Caenorhabditis elegans: one gene and its partner. The protein of the gene in region 1 interacts with the protein of each later gene in a pairwise test. Each region holds a gene or a part of one and is shown in the gene's direction. Other genes may lie near its edges.

What was found.
Region 2: the proteins of sld-5 (region 1) and psf-2 interact in a two-hybrid assay, tested with the Caenorhabditis elegans proteins (one large-scale study listed by BioGRID).

Annotation. Positions count from the first base shown.
Region 1 is NC_003283.11:20,230,639-20,244,947, reverse strand, and holds sld-5 (DNA replication complex GINS protein SLD5), read left to right. Parts: upstream 1-7,202; 5' UTR 7,203-7,221; coding exon 7,222-7,508; intron 7,509-8,495; coding exon 8,496-8,656; intron 8,657-9,447; coding exon 9,448-9,674; 3' UTR 9,675-10,143; downstream 10,144-14,309. Other genes in the region: swsn-1 (SWI/SNF complex subunit SMARCC2), read left to right, coding at 290-710, 2,723-3,688, 4,932-5,089; Y113G7B.15 (Pept_C1 domain-containing protein), read left to right, coding at 11,105-11,392, 12,956-13,130, 14,056-14,309.
Region 2 is NC_003279.8:15,045,941-15,056,235, forward strand, and holds psf-2 (putative DNA replication complex GINS protein PSF2), read left to right. Parts: upstream 1-7,069; 5' UTR 7,070-7,084; coding exon 7,085-7,498; intron 7,499-7,549; coding exon 7,550-7,678; 3' UTR 7,679-7,732; downstream 7,733-10,295. Other genes in the region: bltp-2 (FMP27/BLTP2/Hobbit GFWDK motif-containing RBG unit domain-containing protein), read right to left, coding at 1-187, 599-1,069, 1,151-1,806, 2,149-2,610, 3,037-4,482, 4,693-4,739; zipt-1 (Zrt (ZRT), Irt- (IRT-) like Protein Transporter), read right to left, coding at 5,206-5,574, 5,674-6,005, 6,148-6,256, 6,334-6,480. UniProt on the Caenorhabditis elegans protein: Required for correct functioning of the GINS complex, a complex that plays an essential role in the initiation of DNA replication, and progression of DNA replication forks.

The DNA of each region.
Region 1 (14,309 bases):
ATCGTCAAATTTACCATTTTTCAATCAATTTTTACTGAAAAATCCAAAAAAATTGCTCATTTTAAAACAATTTTCAGCCACAAAAAATTCGATTTTTCAACTCAAAAAACCCCGAAAAATCCATATTTTTCCAGCTTTTTGTTCAATTTTCATAAAAATATTTTTAAAAAATTAAAAAAAATCAAAGCTGTTTTTTTCTGTAAAAATTGCTCATTTTAAAACAACAATTTTCAGCCAAAAAATCCGATTTTTCAACTCAAAAAACCCCGAAAAATCCATATTTTTTCAGGTTTGCGACCACGTCGGCACTCGAACTCAACACGAATGTGTTCTAAAATTCCTTCAACTCCCAATTCAAGACCCATATCTAACTGAAAATCTGTCGTCGGATAAAGCTGAAGCAGCTCCCGGCGGAGCAGCCAAAGAAGTACTCGGACCACTTGCATTCCAGCCTGTTCCATTTTCTCAATCTGGAAATCCAGTAATGTCAACTGTGGCTTTTCTGGCATCAGTTGTGGATCCACAAGTGGCCGCTGCAGCTACAAAAGCTGCAATGGAAGAATTTGGAAAATTGAAAGAAGAAATTCCGCCGCTTGTAGCTGAAGCTCATGAGAAAAATGTTGCGGCAATGGCCGAAAAGACTGGGCAAGTTGATGGAGCTGTTGGGCTTACGAAAAGTGGCCTAAAGCCTGCTGAAGAGGCCGCCGGAGGTAAAAATTCGGGCCCGAAAAAAAAAAAGAAAAATTCAGTAAAAAACCTAGAAATTTGAAAAGTAAAAAAATCGCGCTGAAAACTAATAAAAATGAGCCCGAAATTTGAAAAAATTGGAAAAAATAACAAAAATTTCTGGAAGAAAGCCTGAAAATCGACAAAAAACGGATTTTTCTGATTTAAATTTGAAAATTGGTCATTTTTAGCTCAAAAATCGCTGAAAACTGGCAAAAATGAACCGGAAATTTGAAAATTTTGAAAAAACACTGAAAATCTACAAAAAACGACGGATTTTTCTGATTTAAATTCGGACATTTTTCGTCAATTAATGCTGAAAAAATGATCACCTTTAGACCATTTTTTCGAGAAAAAAAAGAAGTTTTTTTTTATTGAAAAATACTGAAAATGGCAAATTTTGATCATTTTTCATCGAAAATCGCTGAAAATTGGTGAAAATGAGCCCAAAATTTCAGAAAATTTGCACAATTTGATGGAAAAAACTTGAAATTCGACTGAAAAAAAGATTTTTTTGAATTTCGATTTTTTTTTTCGAAAAATTCAAAAAAATCGGTCATTTTTAACATAAAAATTGCTAAAAACTGGTAAAAAAAGAGCCTAAATTGCAAATTTTGATCATTTTTCATCGAAAATTGATTAAATTTTTCATTTTTAAGTCGAAAAGTGGCCTAAAGCCTGAAGAGGCCCGGAATTTGAAAAGCTTGGAACACAATTTGATAAAAAACGGAATTTTCTCACACCAAAAAATATCATTTTAAACCAATTTTCGCTTGAAAAACTCTCGAAAATTCGGTCTTTTTTATACTAAAACTTGCTGAAAACGGTAATTTTTTGTAATATATATATAAAATTGAAAATCGAAGGGCTTTCTGGTCATTTTGAACCATTTTTCGTTAAAAATTGATTGAATTTATTATTTTTGAATGATTTTTAAGTCGAAATGTGTGTGTCCAAAGTCCGAAATTTGAATATTTCAGAAAAATTCACCAAATTTGATGCAACAGACACCCTGAAAATCGACAAAAAAAACAGATTTTTCGTGAAAAATATGTAGAAAATTGAAAACAAAAAGGTTTTCTGGTCATTTTGAACCAATTTTCATCAAAAATTCATAGGGTTTTAAGTTTTATCCTAAAAATCGCTAAAAACAGTAATTTTTCGTAAAAAAAACACTGAAAATTATACTTTTAATCCATTTCTTCGAGAAAAATTCGAAAAAAATTTGCTTTTTATGTGAAAAAATCAAATTTCCACGTGGCGGCGGGCGGTCTTCGATTTAAAAAAATTCAAGTTTTGCGAAAAAATTTGTGAATTTCGTCACAAATTCCATTTTTCAAGCCAATTTCACTGTTTTTTTTTCATCAATTTCATAGAAAAATAGGAGAAATTAGGTGAATTTATGCGAAATTTCCGGGTTTTCACACAATTTCCGTACTTTTGATAGCTTCGCAGTGTTGTTGAAGAAGCCGGTGGTGTTAAATTTCAAGAAATTTTAGTTAAAAATTGATTTAAAATTATAAAAAAGTCACTTTTTTTCACAAATTTTCTTATGAAAAAAATGGTAAAAAGTTACCAGAAACTCCAAAAAATTTGGAAAAAAATGAAGTTTTTCAGCCGAAAATCCATTTTTTCGATAATTTTTATTCAAAATCTATAAAAATGGAGATTTTTCGAGTTTTCAGTTCAAAAATTGAATTTTTTTTTTGATGAATTTATAGCTTAAAAATGTATATTTCTTTTCCGAATTTACATTTTCCACTGATGAAAAACCTCAAAAATGGTATAAAAATTTTGAAAAAAAAATTAAAAACATCATTTTGAGCCAATTTTCACCAAAAAATCGGTCATTTATAGCGTTAAAATCGCTGAAAACTGTTAAAAATAACTTTTTTTCACAAATTTTTCATGAAAAATGGTAAAAAACCACCAGAAACTCCAAAAAATTTGGAAAAAATCTGATTTAGAGCGCCAAAAAAACGGTTTTTTTCTGCAGATTCCGATGAAAAAATGGATACCAATACCAACGACGACGTTCCATCAACGACCGAAGCGAAATCAGCCATCGATAAAGGAGTTCAGGCTGCGGCTGCCTCATGCCTAGCCGCCGCCGCCGTAAAAGCCAAGCATCTGGCTCAGATTGAGGAACGCCGTATCAAAAGCCTCGTCGCACAGCTTGTCGAGACTCAAATGAAGAAGCTTGAGATGAAGCTTCGTCATTTTGACGAGCTCGAGCAGATTATGGATAAGGAGCGGGAATCGTTGGAATATCAACGGCATCAGTTGATTCTTGAACGTCAGGCTTTTCATATGGATCAGCTTAAATATCTCGAGAATCGGGCTAAACATGAAGCTCATTCTCGGATGACAAGCTCTGGAGCTCTTCCGGCTGGGCTTCCACCTGGATTTGAGGTTACCGGCCCGCCACAGCCTACTCCTCAGGTGCAGATTAGTGCTCAGGAGGCTGCGATTCCAGAGAAGATGGATACTTCGGAAGCAGCGACTGCTGCTCGGCCACCGTCCACACCACAGGCTCCGCAAGCTCCCCCCGTTCAGGCCGCTCCGGCGCCGGTTCAGGCTCCTCAGGCTCCACAGGCTCCACCACAAGCCTACCAAGGCTATGGAGGGCCTGGAGGGCCCCCTCAACAAGCCTACCGCTACCCACCACAACAAGGCCAACAATACTCACCATACCCACCACCCCAACAACAACAACAACATCAGGCTCAGCAGGCCCAGTCTCAGGCTCACTATGGCCCACCGGGTGGAGGACAAGGCCCACCACCACCACCACAAGGCCAGCAATACTATGGAGGGCCGCCGCCACCGGGCCAGCCGTACGGGCCGCCAGGAGGCTATCCGCCACAGCAGCAGAGGCCACCATATCAGGCTCAACCGTATCCGGGCCCGCCGCCGCCTCAGCAGCAGAGGGGATATGGTTATCCACCACCACCGCAGCCAGGTAGATAGATATTTTAGGCCTGAAAATGCAATTTAGTCCCGGAAAATTCGGCTTTTTCTGCAAAAATCGCAAAAAAATACGATTTTTTTTCAGAAAATCCGAAAAAATTTGAATTTTTTAGTCCTGAAATGCAATTTTGTCCGGAAAAATTCCTGGGAGCATGGATTTTTTTTCTGGGAAAAATCGAAAATTGAGCTTTTTAGTGACGTTTTGGCGAAAATGTTTGCCAATTTCGATGAAAAATGGACGAAAATTGAGAGATTTTCACTAAGAATAGCGCCAAAAAATGGAAAAATTGCAATTTTTCCAGGCATTTTGTAGAAAATCCGAAACCAAAAAACACTGAAAATTTAAATTTTCAATTCAAATTTCCAGTGCAGTCAGTTCCCGAAAAATGGCTAGAAAATTGTCGAAAATTTGAAATTTTATTGAATTTTGGAATTTTTAAGCATTTTTTTTTTCATTGAAATGTTGATTTTTGACCAATTTTCGATAAAATTTGGTTTAGCAGCGCCCAAAAACTTGTAGTTTGTAGTCTAAGCAGCGCCCAAAAACGAAAAATACGAGATTTTTCAGATAAATTATTTGAAAAACTAGAGAAATGCGAATTTTCGCTGAAAAATGGCTAAAAATCGTAAAAACTTAAATAAATTCAGCTAAAAATGATATCAAAAATCAAGCACGATTCGAAATTTTGCAGAAAAATACGCTAAAAATTCGAAAAAACTATTAATTTTGCGAGAAAAATCATCAAATTTCTAGGAAAATGCTATATTCTGCTGAAAAATTGGCAAAAATCGCGAAAATTTGCACGAAAAATCGATTTTTTTTGAAAAGCAGCGCCCATTTTGACGTTTGGCACTTTTTTTCCAAAAAAAAAACGAAAAATTAGAAAATTGGACTAAAAATGCATTAGCAGCGCCAAAAAACTTGTAGTTTGTAGTTTTAGCAGCGCCCAAAATTGAATTAGCAGCGCCCAAAACTTGTAGTTTGTAGTCTAAGCAGCGCCCAAAACTTGTAGTTTGTAGTCTAAGCAGCGCCCAAAATTGAATTAGCAGCGCCCAAAACTTGTAGTTTGTAGTCTAAGCAGCGCCCAAAAACTTGTAGTTTGTAGTTTTAGCAGCGCCCAAAAACTTGTAGTTTGTAGTCTAAGCAGCGCCCAAAAACTTGTAGTTTGTAGTCTAGCAGCGCCCAAAATTGAATTAGCAAACACTAATAAAAGCATAAATTAATCCAAAAAAAGTATTTTCAGGACACCCATACCAGCAGCCATATGGTCAAATGCCACCACCACCACACGGACAATATCAACCACAGCAGCAGCAGGGAGGTCCAATGGGACCACCCGGGGGACATCATGAAGGTGGAGACGGTGGAGATTCACAACAGAAACAGGAATAATTTATGGAAATTTTGAATTTTTTCTGATTTTTTTCTGATTTTTTTTGCGCATTTTTTTGTTAAAATTCTCGGATTTTTTTTTTTGGAAATTTTTTGTGAAAAATCGCTGAATTTTTCTGATTTTTTTGCGAATTTTTTGGTATATTTTGGACATTTTTCAGATTTTTTTTCTCAAAATTTTTAGAAAATTCGCTGATTTTTTCCCAAAATTTATCCGAATTTTCTAAAATTTTCTGGATTTTTTCAAAAATTCCCTATTTTTTCAGATTTTTTGCGAATTTTTGAGCATTTTTTGGAAATTTTGTCCTCAAAATTTTCCATTTTTTCTCGAATTTTTTTTACAAAATTTTTCACTGAATTTTCCCAATTTTAATCCTATTTCCTCCGATCGCATTTTTTAAAATGTTTTACCACCCCCTTATATACATATTTACCCCCATTCTGTTTCCCCCGTAAAAAAACCACCAAAATGATCTTTTTTTCTCTCTCTGAAATATATATATATGTAACACCCCTCCGAACTCCACGCTGCTGGTATCTCCTTTTTTTCATGGTTTTTTTTAACGATTTTAATTTTAATTTATTCGTATCTTGTGCTATTTAACACCCCACCAACACATATTACTCTCTCTCTTTCTTTTTTTCTATTTATATGATGAAAACGCACACTTTTTCGACGAATTTTTGCATTTTTTTTTGTTGAAATTTTGCGGTTTTTTCCAATGATTTTTATATATTTTTTTTAAATCGGGATTTGAGGATTTTCAGATTTTTTTTTTGCTGTAAAAAACTAAAAGAAATTATATTTTTGGATATAAAATTTTAAAATTTGAAATTTAAAAGTGAAAAAAAAATTTCAAAAAAGTTTATTTTTGGTCCGAAAAAAATATATAAAAATATGAATTTTCCAGCAAAAATTATTTTTTCGAAATTTATTCAATTTTGATAGAAAAACTGAGAAAAAATTCCAAAAAATTGATTTTTCTGAAAATTTGGAAAAAATCGTTTTTTTTTTTTGCAAAAAAAAATGGAAAAATCAAATTTTTCGAATAAGTTTGAAATTTCCACTAAAAATATTTTTTTTACGAAAAAAAAACTTATTTGGTTCATAAAAACTTGAAATATATATATATATATAAATGTGAATTTTCCTGAAAAAAATTAATTTTCCACCTAAAAATTATATATTTTTTCAAATATAAAACTAAAAAACTCTATTTTCCAATTAAATTCAATTTTAATCGAAAAACTGGAAAAAAATTTCAAAAAATTGGTTTTTTTCTTTAGAAAAATCAATATTTATCTGAAAAATTGGAAAAAATCATTTTTTGCAAAAAAAAAATCAAATTTTTTGAATAAATATAAAATTTCCACTAAAAAATATTTTTTCCATAAAATACAAAAATTTAAAAAAATTTAATTTTCCAAATTTAAAACTCCGAAAAAATTTCCTTTTTTACAGGAAAAAACCCCGATTTTTATGATAAAACGTTTTTCACCCAAAAATCAATATTAGTCTGAAAAATTGAAAAAAAAAATTCAATTTTTACTGAAAAAAATTAACATTTCTCACTTTCCTTTAAAAATAATTAATTTTCCACAAAAAAAACCAAATTTTTTCAATTTTAGCACTAAAAATATTATTTTTCCAAAAAAAATTTAAAGTTCAAAAAATATATTTCCAGAGTTTCCATTTCCCAAAAAATACTAAATTTTGATAGAAAAACTGAGAAAAAAATTCCAAAAAAATTTGAAAAAATATTTTTTTTTGCCAAAAAACAAGGAGAAATCAAATTTTTCGAATAAATTAAAAATTTCCATTAAAAAACTATTTTTCCCATAAAAACTAAATAAAAATATATATAAATGTGAATTTTCCTGAAAAAAATCAAAATTTTTCAATTTTAGCACAAAAAAAAATTATTTTTCCAAAAAAATAATAAAAAAATTTTTTCAAAAATTAATTTTCACCTAAAAATGATGAATTTCTTCAAAAAAAAACATTTTTCCCAAAAAAATTTTTTTTTTCAATTTTGGCACTAAAAATATTATTTTTCCCAAAAAAAATTTTTTCAACTAAAAAAAAATTTAAATTAAAAAAATATATTTCCCCAGAATTTCCAAAAAAAAAAATGGCCGTCACCGACTCTGCAACAACCTTTTTGGATTTTGACGACGACGAATACGATGAGATGACTACACCGGAAGAAGTGCTCCGAAAAATGACAGCCACGTGGCAAAATGAGCTGTGTGCTCCGTGCCTTCTCCCAACTCAAATGGAACTTGTCGAAATCCTACTTGATCAGATTCAGGGAATGGAGGAAAATATTGGAAAACAAACGGATAAAATGCAGCTGAGAATCTCAGTTCATCGAGTCGAGCTTCAACGCATTGGGTTTATTACGTCGGATTATGTTAGGTGTGCGGCGGGAAAATGAGCCCCGAAAATGGAGAAAAGTAGCGAAAAACCACGAAAAATACGAAATTTCACGAAAAATAGTGAAAAAACGGAGAAAAATGGGAATTTTCGCTGAAAATTAGTTTAAAAACCGTCCAAAATGGAGAAAATCATGAAATACTGGAAATTTTCACTGAAAATTAATTAAAAAACGGAGAAAAATGGGAATTTTCACGGAAAATTAGTTAAAAAAACGGAGAAAAACGCGAATTCTCACGGAAAAATGGTCGAAAACCACGAAAAATGCAAAAATTCACTGAAAATTGATTAAAAATCGGCGAAAAATGCGATTTTTTGCAGAAAATTGATAAAAAATCACGAAAAATGCATTTTTTCGCTGAAAATTGATTAAAAATCGTCTAAATGGAGAAAATCATGAAATATTGCAAATTTTCACTGAAAATTAGTTAAAAATCGAGAAAACTTCACATTTAGAGTGACAATTAGCCGAAAATTCACGAAAAATGCGAATTTTCACGAAAAAATAGTGAAAAATCGGCGAAAAATGCGAATTTTAACTGAAAATTAATCAAAAATCGGCGAAAAATGCGAAATTTTGCTGAGAAAGTATCAAAAAATCGGAAAAACTTGGAAATTCAGCCGAAAATTAATCAAAAATCGAAAAAAAGCTATATTCTGCAGAAAAATTTGCAAAAATTGTCTAAAAATTTGTACAAAAATCGATTTTTTATGGAAAAAAAAATTGAAAAGCAGCGCAAATTTCGACGTTTTGGCGCTTTTTTGCCGAAAAAAAGGGCGAAAAATGAAAAAAATGGACCAAAAATTCATTAGCAGCGCCCAAAACTTGTAGTTTGTAGTGCCTGAAATTCAAAAACACGCTAAAATCCTCAATTTTCATCGAATTTTGCCCATTTTTTCACGAAAATTTCCAAAAAATTCCCAAATTTTCGTAGATTCTCACTAATTTTCTCGAACAATTTTCTGCAGATGCCGCCTCCAAAAAATCGAATCAAATCCACACGACGCAATCGATCAACACAAAAAACGAAAAGAAGAGGGAAAAAGTGATCTACTATCGGAATCTGAGATGAAATTCGCCGAAGAATATGCTCTAGCGGAGTCGAACCTTTTTCAGAAAACTGTCCTGGGTACGGCGGATGGATTTTTGGTTGAAAATTGCGATTTTTTATTGAAAAAATCGTAAAAATTGGCCAATTTTTCACTAGAAGCCTAATTTTTTTCTAATTTGAAAATTTTTTTGAAAATTCATGTATTTTTTTGTTACAATTTTGAAAAAAAAAATGTCAAAAAATTTTTTTTTTGATTTTTTGAATTTTGAAAGTTTTCCTTTCGAAACTTCAAATTTTTCTCTCAAAATTTGAATTTTTTTTGAATTTTTATTTATTTTGACCTAAAAAAAATTTTTTTTTTTGAATTTTCAAAAAAAAACAATTTTTTTGGTAAAATTGACCATAAAAATTCACAAATTTTAAGAAATTTTCAAATTTTAAAATTAATTTCAAAAAAATCGATTTTTTTTGGAATTTTCAAAAAAAAAATTTCCTTGGAAAAATTAAAATTTTGCAATTTGTTTTTTTTGTGGAAAATCAATAAAAATCTTATTTTTTGCATTTCAAAAGTTTCATTTTTAAGTTAAAAAAAAATTAAATTTAAAATTTTCGCTAAAATTTTAGAAAATTACCTCAAAAATTCAGAAAAATTTGCGTAAAAGCTCAGAAAATCTGGAAAATTTCGATTTTTTTTGCAGTTTTTTTTTCTCTCAAAAACTGCAAAATTTCGCTTAATGCCACGTGGCAATTTTTACAATTTTTTTTTCAAAATTTCAAAAAAAAAAAATTTCAAAATTCCCAAAAAAAAACTTTTTTTTTCAAAATTTCAAAAAAAAAAAAATTTCCCAAAAACTCTCAATTTTCTTCAGAATTCATGCCAGCAGCGCTTAAAAAGATGCCAGTTCCACGTGGCGATCATGATGACGTCATGGTTTACGCAAAAGTGACGTCAGATGACGTGGGCAACGTTGCGATTCCGGATTGGCAGGATTTGAATGGAGAAGTGATTTTGGAAATGGAACCGGAATCGTGTCATTTGATTCCGTTCGAATCGGTACATCAATTGGTTGAAGATGGAAATATTCAACTGATGTGAAGAAGAATTTTTTGATAATTTTTTCGGATTTTTTTGGAATTTTCATCATTTTTACCCCTAAAATCGTAAATTTAATCCATTTTTTTGTAATTTTCCCGAATTTTTCATCATTTTTTACCCCTGAAACCCCCTTTTTTTTTTTTTACATATGTCTACTTTAATTTGTCACTTTTTGCCAATTTTCTGTCAAAAAATGAGCATTTTCACTGAAATTTTGCGGTGATTTTTCGCCTGTTTTCTCCTCTTTGAATCTCAATTTTTCACTTTAAAATTATCAAATTTTGCTCAAAAACCTCATTATTCCATTTTTATGTTCCCCCAAAAAACTGGATTTTCACTTCAAAAATCGGGTTTTTTTCTCTTAAATTTTCATTTATTTTAGCTTTTTTAAACATAAAAACGAAGCTTACTCCATGTTTTTTCCTGAAAATAGACAAAAAAATTTGGTTTGATATAAATTTTCGATTTTTGAGCCAAAAAGTGAATAATTTAAAGTTTTTCTGCTCATAACATTGTTCAGCATGACCATAGCGCAAAACTGGTGAAATTTTTGGAACTTTCGTAAAATTTCAGGCTTAAAACACCTAAATTACGCGAATTTTGGAGCAGTTTGAAAACTTGGTCAAGTGGCTCAGGCGGGAAGAGAGAAGGCTATGGTTCGGAGGGTAACAGGTTCGAACCCCCGCTAGGGTCAATATTTTTTATATGTTTGAATTAGTATAGCCTAGTTGGTTTTGAGCAATTGCGAAGGGGAGGAAGGGTTTAAGGGAATTTTTTGAAAAAAATCGATAAAATGTGTTTTCTTTTGGTTTTTTGCCAATTTCTTGAAGTTTTCAGCGATTTTAGCATAAATTTCCAAATTCTGCAGAAAATTTAGACATTTTTTGACACCCATATTAACTTTTCAACTTTTTTTTTCGAATTTTGAGCCAAGAAATTGATCGATTTAAAGTTTTTTACTCATAACTCTGTTCAACATGAACGTAGATCAAAACTAGTTAAATTTCTGGAATTATCGTGAAATTCTGAGCCTAAAACAACTAAATTACGCGAATTTTGGAGCAGTTTGAAAACTGGGTCAAAGTGGCTCAGGCGGGAAGAGGTATGGTTATGTGCGGAGGGTCATAGGTTCGAACCCCCGCTAGGGTCAATATTTTTTTAATGTTTGAATTAGTATAGCTAAGTTGGTTTAGAACAATTGCGAAGGGTTTTGAGGGAATTAAAAAAAAAAAAAAACATTTTTTTTTAAATTTTTAGATTAAAAATTTTTTTTTTTTTGGAGAACTAAACTTTCAGGGCTCAGAGTAACACTGAAACAAGAACAATTTTTTTTCATATTTTATCATTTTATGTTACCTGTTACCTTGAACATGTTGATCGGCGTGATTCCACCTATAAAAACCAGCGAAAACCCCGTAAAAACCTGAAAAATGTTACTTTTCATAATTTCCCCCTTATTCCTACTCTCTCTATGCCAACCTACAGTAACCCAACACTCTCAGGAGGTACTGTCACATTTTAACAATTTCACGATGCACCATAAGAAACACTACCGTACCCCGGCGGAGAAAGACCGCCGGTTGGCTCATTTCGCGAAAAATCATCAGAAAATCCAGGAACTTAATGCGAAAGCAAGGAGAGAAGGACGAAATGTGACTTTTGGGTGGAATAAGTTTGCTGATAAGAATCGACAGGAGTTGAGCGCCAGAAATTCAAAGGTTGGGGAGTTTTTTCAAAAAGCGCACAAAATTCTGCGCAAGATGGTTTTTGATTGGTTGAAAAATATTGATTTTAAACCGAGTTATGGCGTTTTGAAGGTGGTGGCCTAGAAACCGGAAATTTAGAAAATTTAGGTCACCAGTATTAAATAGGTCAAATAGACTCTAAATTTTAGGGAGAGTACATTAGTTTTAGAATCACTGAAAAATATTGATTTTCCGTTGAGTTATGACGGTTTTAAGTTGGTGGCCTAGAAACCCAAAAATCAGAAATTCTAGGCCACCAATATTAAATAGGTCAAATCGATTCCAAATTTTGTGGCAAGTACGTTAGTTTTGGAATCACTGAAAAATATTGATCTTGAGCAAAGTTATGAAGGATTGAAGTTGGTGGCCTAAAAATCCAAAAATCAGAAATTCTAGGCCACCAATTTTAAATAGGCCGAATCTATTCCTAATTTCAAGTCAATCACGGTAGTTTAGGAACCACTGAAAATATTAATTTCGAGCCAAGTTATGAGAGATGGAAGTTGGTGGCCTAGAAACTCAAAAGTTAGAAATTCTAGGCCACCAAATATCAAATAGGTCAAATTGATTTCAAATTTTGAGAAAAGTACGTTAGTTTTGGAGTCACTGAAAAATATTGAGTTTCCGTCGAGTTATGACGGTTTGAGGTTTGTGACCTAGAAACCCAACAGTTAAAAACTCTAGGCCACCAATATTCAGTAGGTCAAATGGACTTCAAATTTTAGGGAGAGTACGATAGTTTTGGAATAGCTGAAAAATATTGATTTTCCGTTGAGTTATGACGGTTTTAAGTTGGTGGCCTAGAAACCCAAAAATCAGAAATTCTAGGCCACCAAATATTAAATAGATCAATTTGATTCCAAATTTTGAGACATATACGTTAGTTTTGGAATCACTGAAAAATATTGATTTTGAGCTGAGTTATGACGTTTTGAAGTTGGTGGCCTAGAAACTCAAATATTAGAAATTCTAGGCCACGAAATATCAAATAGGTCAAATCGATTTCAAATTTTGAGACATATACGTTAGTTTTGGAATCACTGAAAAATATTTATTTTCCGTCGAGTTATGCCGGTTTGAAGTTTGTCGCCTAGAAACCTGAAAAATTCTAGGCCACCAATTTTAAATAAGCCGAATTGATTCCAAAATTCAAGTTGATTAAGTTTGTTTCTGTAAAACTCAAAAATATTGATTTTGAGCCAAGTTACAAGAATTTGAAGCAGGTGGCCTAACTTTTAATTTCTAGGCCACCAACTTCAACCCTCCATAATTCGGCTTTAAATCAATATTTCTGAATTTTACAAAAACCAACTTACGAAATTTGGAATCGATCTGACCTATTTAATTTTTGATGGCCTAGACATCCAAAATTTTGGGTTTCTAGGCCACCAACTTCAAACTTTCATAACTCGGCGGAAAATCAATATTTTTGAAATTTGAAAATTGTATTAGAATGTTCACGGTGCGTTCTTTAAGTTCTAATTATTCTTTTTTTTTAAACGAAAATTAAAAAAAAATAATTTGGAAATTTTCCAGATTCATCCCAAAAACCACACGGATCTTCCAATTTACAAGCCGAGGCATCCACGTGGCAGTCGTAATCATCATAATAAACGCTCAAAACGTCAAAGTGGGGATATTCCGGACTATTTCGACCTCCGTGATATTTATGTCGATGGGAGTCCAGTTGTTGGTCCTGTTAAAGATCAAGGTATGCTTAATTTGAAAAAGCTTAAAATTTGAGTAAACACAGATTTTGATTGGCGAAAAAATATTGATTTTCCGCCGAGTTATGAGGGTTTGAAGTTGGTGGCCTAGAAATGCAGAAATTTTTGGATTTCTAGGCCATCAAAATCAAGTAGGTCAAATTTATTGCAATTTTTTAGACAAATAAATTGGTTTTTGCAAAATTTTATTATGTAGATTTTCCGCCAAGTTATGAATGTTAGAAGTTGGTGGCCTAGAAAAATCATGCTCAGGTTTTCTAGGCCACCAATTATTCGAAAACAATAATAACTTAGACTCAATGTTTTTACAATTTCAGGTTTGAAAACTATAATTTCTAAGCAAAGTTATAGTCGTGGAAGAGTTTTTAAACTTTCTAGGCCACCAACTTGAAACCGTCATAACTCGGCGGAAAATTGATATTTTCGGGTTTTGTTAAAAGCATGTATCTTTCCATAAAGTTTACTATCAAATTAACTTAGTTAATTTTTAATGGCCTAGAAAAACACCAAATTGGATTTCTAGGACCCAACTTCAATCCCATATAACTCGGCGGAAAATTGATATTTTCGAGATCCGTAAAAATAATTTTGTTCACCATGAAATTTACGTTCAATATGACCTACTTAAATTTTGATGGCCTAGAAAACAATCATTTGGATTTCTAGGCCACCAACTTCAAACTCTCATAACTCGCTTCAAAATCGACGTATTTGGAGTTTGTAAAAGCCAATCGGTTTGTAATTTAATTGTTAACTTGAAAAACTCCCCCAAATACCGGTGGCCTCATCTGAAATTCTAGGCCACCAACTTCAAACCTTCATAACTCCCTTCAAAATATTTATTTTTTGGTGTTTCAAAAACTATTTCCATTTTAAATTTTACGCTCTTTTCAACTGATAACTTTTCAGAACAATGCGGTTGCTGCTGGGCGTTCGCCACCACTGCCATCACCGAAGCTGCCAACACCCTCTACTCCAAGTCCTTCACAAGTCTCTCGGACCAGGAAATTTGCGATTGTGCAGATTCAGGAGACACTCCTGGGTGCGTGGGAGGTGATCCAAGGAACGGTCTGAAAATGGTGCATCTACGGGGACAGTCCAGTGACGGTGACTACCCTTACGAGGAATATCGGGCGAATACCACTGGAAATTGCGTGGGCGAC
Region 2 (10,295 bases), on another chromosome or scaffold:
ATCGTCGTCACCAGCTTCTCACTCGACCATAATAGTTTTCCGTGTAATAGAAAACGCATTTTATCCCAAAATGGAAGAGGCTGTGATGGGTCTTTTGATGGTGCCGAGATGTTATTCCAAACAAGGGAAATCATTGAGAGGCACGGTTCCCAGCAGGGGCCGTAGGTGCAGTTGTATTCGGTACTTGCTGAAAAATTTTGATGTACTTATGTATTTCTACATTAAAAAAATGAACTAAATTTGGTACTTGCGTATTATACCCCTTCATTTCATAAATTAATTTAACTATAGAACGTAATTTTTAAAGTCTAAAGTAATCCTATCGTACTCCTACAGTACTACTACAACCAACCCCATCCCCCCATCAACACAAAACCTGAATCCTTTCATAAGACGAAAAGTCGATTTTTTTTTTCCAAAACTACAGTTCTGTTGATTTTGATTTGAAAAATCTTAAATTTTCGTTTTTGATTTTAAAAAAGTCGAAAATTAGAATGTCTAATTTTTTAAACCGGAAAATCTGATTTAAAAAATCGAATTTTTCTTGTAAATCATGAATTTTTGGCAAATTTTGTACTTTGTAGCCTCCACCACTTACCACATTGAAGATCATAATAAAACTTGATAGGAGACATGTTCTTCCATACAGAATGAGTTGGAAACGGTTCTGGAAGAGGAATCACACACTCTCGAAGTGACCGCCCGTCTTCGGACAGGCTTTCTGCGGCAACTAGAGTTCCAAAGAAGTGAAGATCCTTAATATCCAAATATTTCATTGGATAATCCTTAAAAGTGACTGTCCATTCATCAACATCAAATTCAACAGCACGAGCCCATAAAGTGGAATAATTTTGCTCGGGAATCGGGCTCAACGGGTCAAAAGCCTTCATCATTTGAATACACTTTTCAGTTCCATGTAGTGTTACATCAGCAAATGCTCTCATATTCCAACCCTTCCATTTTGATAGAAATAGAGGAGAATCACTGACTTCCGTCATTTTCCATCGTTCAATGTAGATCTCACTGTTCTTCTCGATAAGGCTATTTTTGATTGCTTCGATCATTTCTTCTGTAAAAGATCGAGGTTTATACATTTAATGTCTTAAACTAATTGTTTTTTCAAAAAATAAATTTCAGATTTTTCACATACTCGACAAAAACGGCGCCGTCTTCTTCAAATTAAAAAGTCTCTCCTCCAACAATTGCTCTCTTCGTTCAGACTCATATACTTCATCCTCTTTTAGTTGTGCACTAAGCTTCAATCGATTCTCAAATTCATCATCCTCTAGTTCTAACCAAACTTCTAGAAATTCAATCCGAACATCACTTGGCAGTGGAGATGCTTCTGTGAACTCCTTTTTCTTCACTTCATGAACAACCTTGATCCATTTGATTATTTGAAGAAACTCATCGAAAATTTGCGCGAAATCAAAATTGAACGGCAATCGGAACATGAATTTATCGGCCGACCAAATCCAAACTTTATTCGTGGCCGATGACAACGTAGCAAATGCAGATCGTGATTGCGTCATCAGATCATCGGAATTTTGAACCGTGATCGTTGGATTTAATACACTTATGATCCTTTGCTCATTGAGCATAACATAAAGAATCTCCGTATTCATTCTCATTTGATTATCAAGCCGTTCCAAACGAAATTTCTCTCCCTGCCAGAACATTCGATTATTTCTTGCCAGCTCCAGTTGAACTTCGACGAAATTTTCGGCGGTCAGAATTATGTGCTTTTTTCGAGGCACTTTTCGTGTTAAAGTTGACGGATTCGGAAATGATAGGAGTTGAACGGTTCTGCAAAAAAGGAATTTTATTGAATATTAAAATGTCAAATTAAAAAACTAATTTATACTGTTTTACCTTAAATTTAGAAAATTATGTTTACCAAGAGGATTTTGTTGTTTTTTCTTGAAAGGTAAAAAAAATTCAGAATTTTTAAAAATCATGTCAATTTTTCATAAAATCTATCTGGCAAAAAATTTTGGCGGGAAATTCAAATTTTCTGAGCAAAAGAAGTGTTTTAAATTTAAATTTGCTGACTAGCCTCTGGCATTCGGTAGTTTTTTTCAATTAAGTTTTAATTTTCAAAAAACCGCTAAAAATGATTTTCTCCCATATTCCTGATAAAACTCTCACTTTTTGACAGACTTATAAGCGTCAAAAACAATGAGATGAAGCTGTGGAGACCACGCCAAGAAGACCTCGCTCGATGTGAAAACTGATATTTTATCGATAACCGATGATTGTTTATCAATGAGAAACTCCAAAGTGTTCACCGTAATGAACTGTTTGAATTTGAATTCAAATTGATTAGCTCGTTTCTCTCGTTCCTCTTTATATACTCGTTCTCTCTCCAAATGGCTCCATCTCCGAGTTGGTGAACTGTGAATTTCGGCTGCTTCTTCAACTACTCGCTGCGATTCGAAAATATCCGCGAGAAGAACATGATCTTCAGTATCTTCTCGAATTCCGGTCGCGCCACGCATCATCTCCATTTTGAGAAGGCCATCTTTTTGCCAGTTATCGGTAATAAATTCGAGTTTGGAAGCACATAGTGCCGCGTAGGATTTGTTCGTGGCGTTCACTAGTACGGCTAGTCTGTAATTACTTTCTTTGTTATTGAAAAAAGTCTCCCTCCAACTTTAAAGATCGGGTAAATATTTTGAAATGGCTTCAATTTGGCTCCTGATCAAAGGTGTAAAATCGAAATTGTTTTGTTTTTTCGATTTTTCAAAATTTGCTAATAATTTTGGCCATTATATAATAATTCTTCTTCTTTTTAGAAAAAAATTTTATATTTTTTCTCATCAATATAAACAAAATTAGATTTTTAAAAATCATATTTTATGGTTAATTTTCTGAACATGAACATTTTTTTTTGATTTTCCAGAAAATCGAAAAATCGAAAATTTTTTGATTTTTTGATTTTCACTCAAAAACACCGAAAAATCCACGGCGCGCTCCGAAGAGAATGTCTTTCGCGGTATTTTGAAAATATTCTTGGGCCAGGATTTTTTTCTTTACCTATTAGCCGACACTTGAACCGCAAGGCACAAATTCCCAGCTTCTTCCCCATTAGCAGAATGCTCGGCTCCAAGAATTCCATGAATAACCCCTTCAATTTGTCGAGCCAATTGATCGGACCATTCGAACTTCACATCATCACATCCCACAGTAATATCTAACAAATTCTTCTTCGAAAGTTTCTTCCATTGCGCTATAAATGCTCCAATAAATAGAGTTTCCCCCCATTCATGGTATTCGAATTGTTGTAGGGATTCAGGATCGTCTTGTGATCCGAAGAAAAGCATCTCGATTCCAAGTTCAAATTGAGTAGACGTTTCATTCGACTTTTCAAACGTGAGAAAGCCTAGCTTAAACCACGATCGGTGGGATTCAAAGTCGACAATTTCGGCCGACAAATCACAGAATTCAAGAAAGATTTGATAATCTGATCCTCTCGATCCTCCTGAAGATCCTTGATGTCCACTGATTCTTTGGAGCTCTTTAAGACTCTTATTCCACCACTGAACATCATGGAACGCTAGTTTAGCATGAACTCCTTCCACAGAGCAGTGAAGCGTCTTCACAGCCGTCTCAAACTTTATCATGGTAAGTTTAAGCTCACTTCTGAGCAGCTGATCTGCGATGTTCAGCTCGGAAATCACTAGTATGCTGGTTTCCAGGTTTCTAGTAAATTGGATTTGCTTTATACCAGCCGTGATGTAGCGGTTATTCGTGGTATATTTGATGGAGAACGAGTGGATGACCACGGTCATTTGGAGTAGTTTCAGGGGAGTTTTGAGTTCTGCAGAGCCACTTCTTTCCGTGTATCCAGTCCAACTGCTAAAAACTTCAAAAAAGTCATCACTGAACGCGATCGCCGGTGACGAAATCCTCAAGGCCACGTTATCCACAACATCCTTATCGATATCTAAAGAGAGTTGAAACGGCATTGACAGCTCCGCGAGCAAGCTCCCACTGTTCCTTCCTCGTCTCAAAAGCTTCGCCTGTATTAGTGAGCAAGACGTCTCGAATTGCCATCCTTCTCTGCTCCGGAACGTTTCAAGCGACAACTCGTCGATTGTCACGTGCAACAGGCAATCCGGTATCGTATTCATTACTACAATATGTACACGATTCACCACAAGACCACAGTACTGAGCGATTCGAGTGAATCGAGACGTCCAGATGTTTAATTTGATCATTTTCGACGGATCTTCCACCTCTTCCACTTTTCCATACCACTGTACATTCTTCTCGGCCTCGATCCTCACATCATCGAACCGCAAAACACAAAAGCGTGTCGGATGAGCTCGATCCCTCGACAACGAGATTACGTCAATGTGAATGGAGAGCCACGAGATTTTGATGGTGACGTCACGCAACTGAACGAATCCCACACCTCCGATGCGAACATGAGATTTTGTAACGAATGAGAAGATCCACGATAGAATCACATCGATGTAGCTGGAAGTTTGTTATTTTAAACTAATGTTGCAGCCATAAATTTCTTTTTTTTAGATTCTCAAAAAAATTTACAGATTTCTTTTTTCCTTTTACTTTTCAAGAGAAATGAACTTTTTTTCATAGTTTTCTTTTGAAAACACAAAAAAAAAATCTGAAATGTACGTTTTTTTTAAAGTTCAAAACCCAAAAACTTGTAGCCTAGAAATTTACCTCAGAAAAATGAGAAAAACTGTCAGAAGGGAGAGAAGGACTATCATAGTGCGTCCGGCTGCATCTGTCTGAAATATCAGTTACTTTGAGAAAATTTTAAAAGAAAAAGGCATCACAACAACGAGAGCGTCTAGTGCTTAAAATAAAATTTGGAAAAAACGGCTAAAAGTTAAAGATAATAGTTATTCAATTTTTGAAATTAGAAAAACATGAGCTCTGTGAGTCTTAGGATTGTGGGTTTGGTACAACAAATGGGAGCTTTAAAGCCGTCGGGAATGTCAAATATTAAGTAATGGAATTGGGAAAATGAATGAAATACACAGGTCTATGGCGAGCTGGAACCCGGGATGAGAAAGTACAAGAAAATGTGTGATAGCGAAAAGATGGGACACAGAATGTACACAAAAATCGAGTAAAATTGCACAGAATTAGGAAAAAAAAACTAAAGCAGAGAAAATGCTACAAAATGTCAAAAATTAATCGAATTCCTGGAGAAAAAGAAATACAAATGTCCTAAGAAGCTTCGGGGAAAATCAAGATAAAAGCGACAACGATTGCAAATCCCATATAAATGAAGAACATCTTGAGAATTCGATATTTTCCATTATGCAATTCATGTGGAATCACTTCAAAAGTAGTAATATACAAGAATGTTCCACAGGCAATTGCTTGTAGAATTGATGAGACAATTGCAGCAAATGATTGTTCTCCTCCACTGATAAATTTCATGATTCCAATTCCAGCTAGACCACCAATCAATACTTGAACACTAAAAAGGAATTGTGCAAGTGCAATCCATGGAGTTGTTAGATTTGCTTGAACTAGACGAACTCCAAGGCAGAAGCCCATTATGCATTTGTGAAGTATTAGCGCTCCGAAGATCTGCAAAATAAATTAAAAAAAAAAAACATTTTTTGTTTTAAATTCTAATTTTAATTTTAAAAATGAAGAAAATAGTAGTTTTAAGGTAGCCGGCAGAACCTGAAGCAACTGAGAAGCATCTGACGTGACAGCTAACGAGAGTCCCTCGAACAGAGCATGAACAGAGAGTGCCAATACTAGCATGGCAACTCCAATACTCGATTGGGCGGCAGCTTCGTCTCCTTCTTCTTGTGATTCACCATCTTCAGATCTTTGATGCTCATGATTATGACTATGAATATGGTATCCAACATGTCCGAATACATTTCGGTCTTTCGCCGCTTTGACAACCTGATCAATTGTGAGAACCAATAGAAATCCGACTGCTACAAATGCCAACGGAACTGGGAACTCCGTTGCAATCTTGGTCTTCTCGAAGGATTCTATTGAGTCTGCAAAATGTTTCAGGTTTTCTACTACATTTTAGCGAGTGTATTGCCAAAATGGGATTTTTGGCGAATATTCTTCAAAATTTGGACTAAAATAGCATTTCTCTGATGTTTTTTTTTTTTTGCAAAATTTTCCACTTCTCACCTGGAAGCAAATCAAGAAGGCAGGCGCCTAGAAAAACTCCACCACCGATGCACGAGATGAACGAGAGAATATGGCTCCGCGCCCATTCTCCTTTTAGAAACGTGGCTATCTGAAAGTTGACGAAATTTTCAAAATGAAATGTGATCACATCACATGCGAACATGACAAAAAAAAGTTTTGGCTCACCATTCCGGCTGCAAACGTGAGCGCGAACAGAACGATGAGCAATACGGCGCGGAGTGCATCCTTCGGTTCTGCCCGTTCTCCATGCTCTTCCCATACGTTTTTTAGAAATAACCGTGCAGTTAAACGAGAAACAATTCGTCCGAACATCTTAAATTTTGGAGTACTCAGCAATTTTCGTAGAAGGTAGCGAGAAAAAGAGAAAAATGGATGGAAAGTTAGAATTTTTGTGTGGTAATATTTTTGAAATATTTGTAAGAAGAATATTTAAATGTTTTTTGAAAAAAATAAATCAGTTTGCCGAGAGAAAATCAATAAATCGCGAGCCTTTTCGAGACATGAACGCTCGATTTGCTCAAACACTTCTCTGGCGCTCTCCACTCTCTCGCACGTGCAATTGTAGCGCGTTTGCTGATAGTTTTGTGAACTAAGAACGCGAGAATATCGGGCGTGGTCTTACTAATATTTTATAGAATGTTTGATTTTATCTGCCGAAATTTGTAACTATTAACGTTTTCTAATTGAAAAAATTCAAAATTTTTCAAGTATCCATTTTTATAGCGTTTTTTTTTGTGTATTTTTAAGATTTTATTTCACAAATCTGAGTTCTATGGAATACTTTCCCATCAGAAGTGTAAGGCCTCAATATCGGAGGGGTTTTAGAAATTTTTAAAATAAGTTATTCTTCTCAATTTATATTTTCTTTTCTTAATTTATATTTTCAATTGAAAAACTATTATTTTCAGATCAAAAAATGAATGCAGAACGTTGCGAGTTCATCGCCGGAAACTCGCTTATTGAAGTGATCCCCTCAATTTCCGATGACCGGCCGATTCACCTGATTTCCGGCGATATTGGTCCATTTGAGGCAGGCGTACCCTGTCGGATTCCAGTTTGGACAGCGATTTTGATGAAACGAAAACACAATTGCAAGGTGGTGGCTCCTCAATGGATGGATGTAGATGAGCTGAAGAAGATATTGACGTCAGAGACTGAAAGCCAAGGATTGGCGAAATTACCGGATCATTTCTTTGAAATCTCGCATATGCTTGTTCGAGATGCCCGTGAGGATATATTCGAAGTTGAAGCTGTCAAATCATTGGTTCAGGACATTTATGATCGGAGGGACGCAAAACTTCGAAGCTCAGCGATCGAATTCTTGAGACAGGTTGGCAAAAATTATTGAAAATATTTCTAATCCAATTCTTAACAATTCCAGAACCAAACCTGCCACGCTCAATTGGACAACGTTCAGCTGATTGAAGCATCGTCCGCTCGTGCCACTTTGGAGGCCTGTCGTCAGATGGGAGCTGTCGTCCGTAATAAACACGAATCAACACCTTTATAGTGTTTTATTCCTATATATACACTTATTTTTCACAATTAAAACAATTACAATTTCATTGCTGTCTCAAACAGAAAAAAAGTACCCGAATTTAAGACAAATCCTGACAAATTCTCGAAATGAATAACACAGAAAATTTGGAGATCTCAAGGGAAATGGTGTTGATAGATTATTTCTACTAGTTTGTCAGTGGTGCATGCGGTTGGCGTTTTCCTCGACGTGGCAATGACTTGTTGAACGTTCCATCAGATGGAAAAACTGCATATCCTTTTCGCTCACGAGGACTGAAGAAACTTGGAATTAAATTTTGAAAAGCGATGGCGTGGCGAACCTTTTTTTATCGGTGAACGCAGTTGGCGCCTTAATTCGACTTCTAAACGCTTGAGCTACTTCCTCTGGAGAATCCACGTGGGTTGTTGAAGCAACCTTCAGCGGTTTTTTCTTCCGCATCGAGGAGTTCAGCATAATCGGGACATATGAAGGCCGGGGAGCAGATTTTTCAAAAGCTGGAATAAAATTAAATTGTTTAGAAAAAAAAACACTTTGAATAAGCATTGATCTTGGATGTTGTCTTTTATAAAACGTGTGTACAGTGCATTTTTTGGTACTTATGAGTTTCGTTCCCCCCAAAATGATTTCCATATTTTCTAATTGAGACGTGAACTTTTTTTCATTCTCAGGCTTAGGGAAATGATTTTCTAAGCCAAAAAATGAAAACAGTATTAAAATAAACATTCACGTGTGGATTAAAATTAAAAAGGTAGTGTTAAATAATTTAAAATCATTTTGGGGGAACGAAACCCATAAGCACCCTTTTTTTTTCCACTTCTGCGACTCTAAAGGAGGGCGCATTTATTCGAAATGGTCCCGCCACGCGCTTCAAAAATCAAAGAATGATGCGTGCCGAGACCAATTCGGATAAACTCACCCTCCTTTAAAGTCGTGGAAGTGAAGAAACAATATACTGTAATGTTGATGCGACCTAGTGATGGCCTCTCGGCAGCAATCAACGAACATACATTTCACAATATCTGACACTTTACTTTGTGTCATTGTAGAAATCTCCTTTTGCCCCTCTGTCCCAGGAGCAGTCTCCTCGTCTTCCTCGGATTCATCTCTCGATTCTCTCCCGCTATCCACTGATTTCTGCTCACTGCGTGGCGACGACTCGGGCGTCGCTGAACTAGCGATATCCACTGGCCCCTCAACAGCTTCCACGTAATCTATCTCATTTTCGACGTCCTCAATGATAACTGGAAGCGCCGGAATAAAGCGGCGCTGACGTATACGTTCCTTTGCAACATCTACAACTCGTCGCAAGTCGTAAAGGAATTGTATGGCTAGCGGTGACGGATGGGTCATTTGTGCAGAGTCAAAGTATTCTGGAAAATAGTTACGAACGTGGTGCCAGAGAGTTTTCTTTCTGTTCGGTCTTGCAGCAATTTTACGACAGGCAAAACTTCCAAGTGACTTGGCAGTTCAGCGTAGTATTATAGTTTCAGCAAGTTCCAGGTAAGCCCACGCCTTAGCCTTAGCGTCAGCCTGAGCCTACGCCTAAGCCTAAACCTACGCATAAGCCTAGGCTCAGGCCTAAACTTAAGCCTAAGCCTATCCCTAAGCTTGAGATGTACATAGTCTGTTCGTTTAGAATAATAAAACATTTCAAAATGTAACTAACCTGAACTAAAAATAAGTCGCTTGCGATTCAATGATTGTGAATGTGACTGAAGAATTTCTTGCTCTTCGATTTCTTCAAATTCCGTCCCATTTTGCTGAAGAATCTAAAACATCAATCACGGATTTTCTAAAATTCTCAAAATTCTAACTTGATTCTGATGCTTGTACTGTTGCACAAATTGCATTTGAAAGTCACTGATTAGTTTTCGTTTTTTAATACCCCAGCAGATATTCCAGACGACTAACGTGATTATGAGAACAATTACGATTAGAGCCACAATTATCAGAAGAAATGTGGATTCCACTCTCCATCCGGGCTCTTCGGAATCGAATCGCTTATGGTCGAAATGGGAAGAGGTACCTAAAAATTTAATGGTCAAGTAGCAAGTATTTATAGCATTTGTAGATTTGGGAATTTCTAAATGAGTATTAATTTGGAATTTTTTTGACCTGGGTTAAAACATAGTACAACATTTTTACTAATAAAAAACGTTCCAAAAAGCTTTTATTAAAACACCAAAAATTCACATTTCACGGACCTTGATCGAAATTTTAAGTGACTTTTTCTCAAAATTTCTCGTCAACCTGATCTATATTTTGGGTAATTTGTTAGTTGGCAATTACCAAATGCAACTTTAAAGTTAATTGCGATTGTATTTTTCCGACAGGCAGTTGCTGGTTGTTCTTTAAAGTGCCCCCTGTTAACTTAATAGCTTCTTCCCGGATTTGAAGTGTCTCAATTCATGTATTTTCGTATGAAGACCCACAAAAGGTGATAAGAATATCAGTCAATTCACTATGATAAGGCGAACATACAAATGCGTTCGCTTCTCTGTTTTTCTCTAAACTTCTCCAATTCTGACGCTGTCTCTTCAATCTCCAATCGACTTTCACTAACCTGAAGTACCGGCAATTCGGAGAGAAATGCAGAATGGGGCGGAGA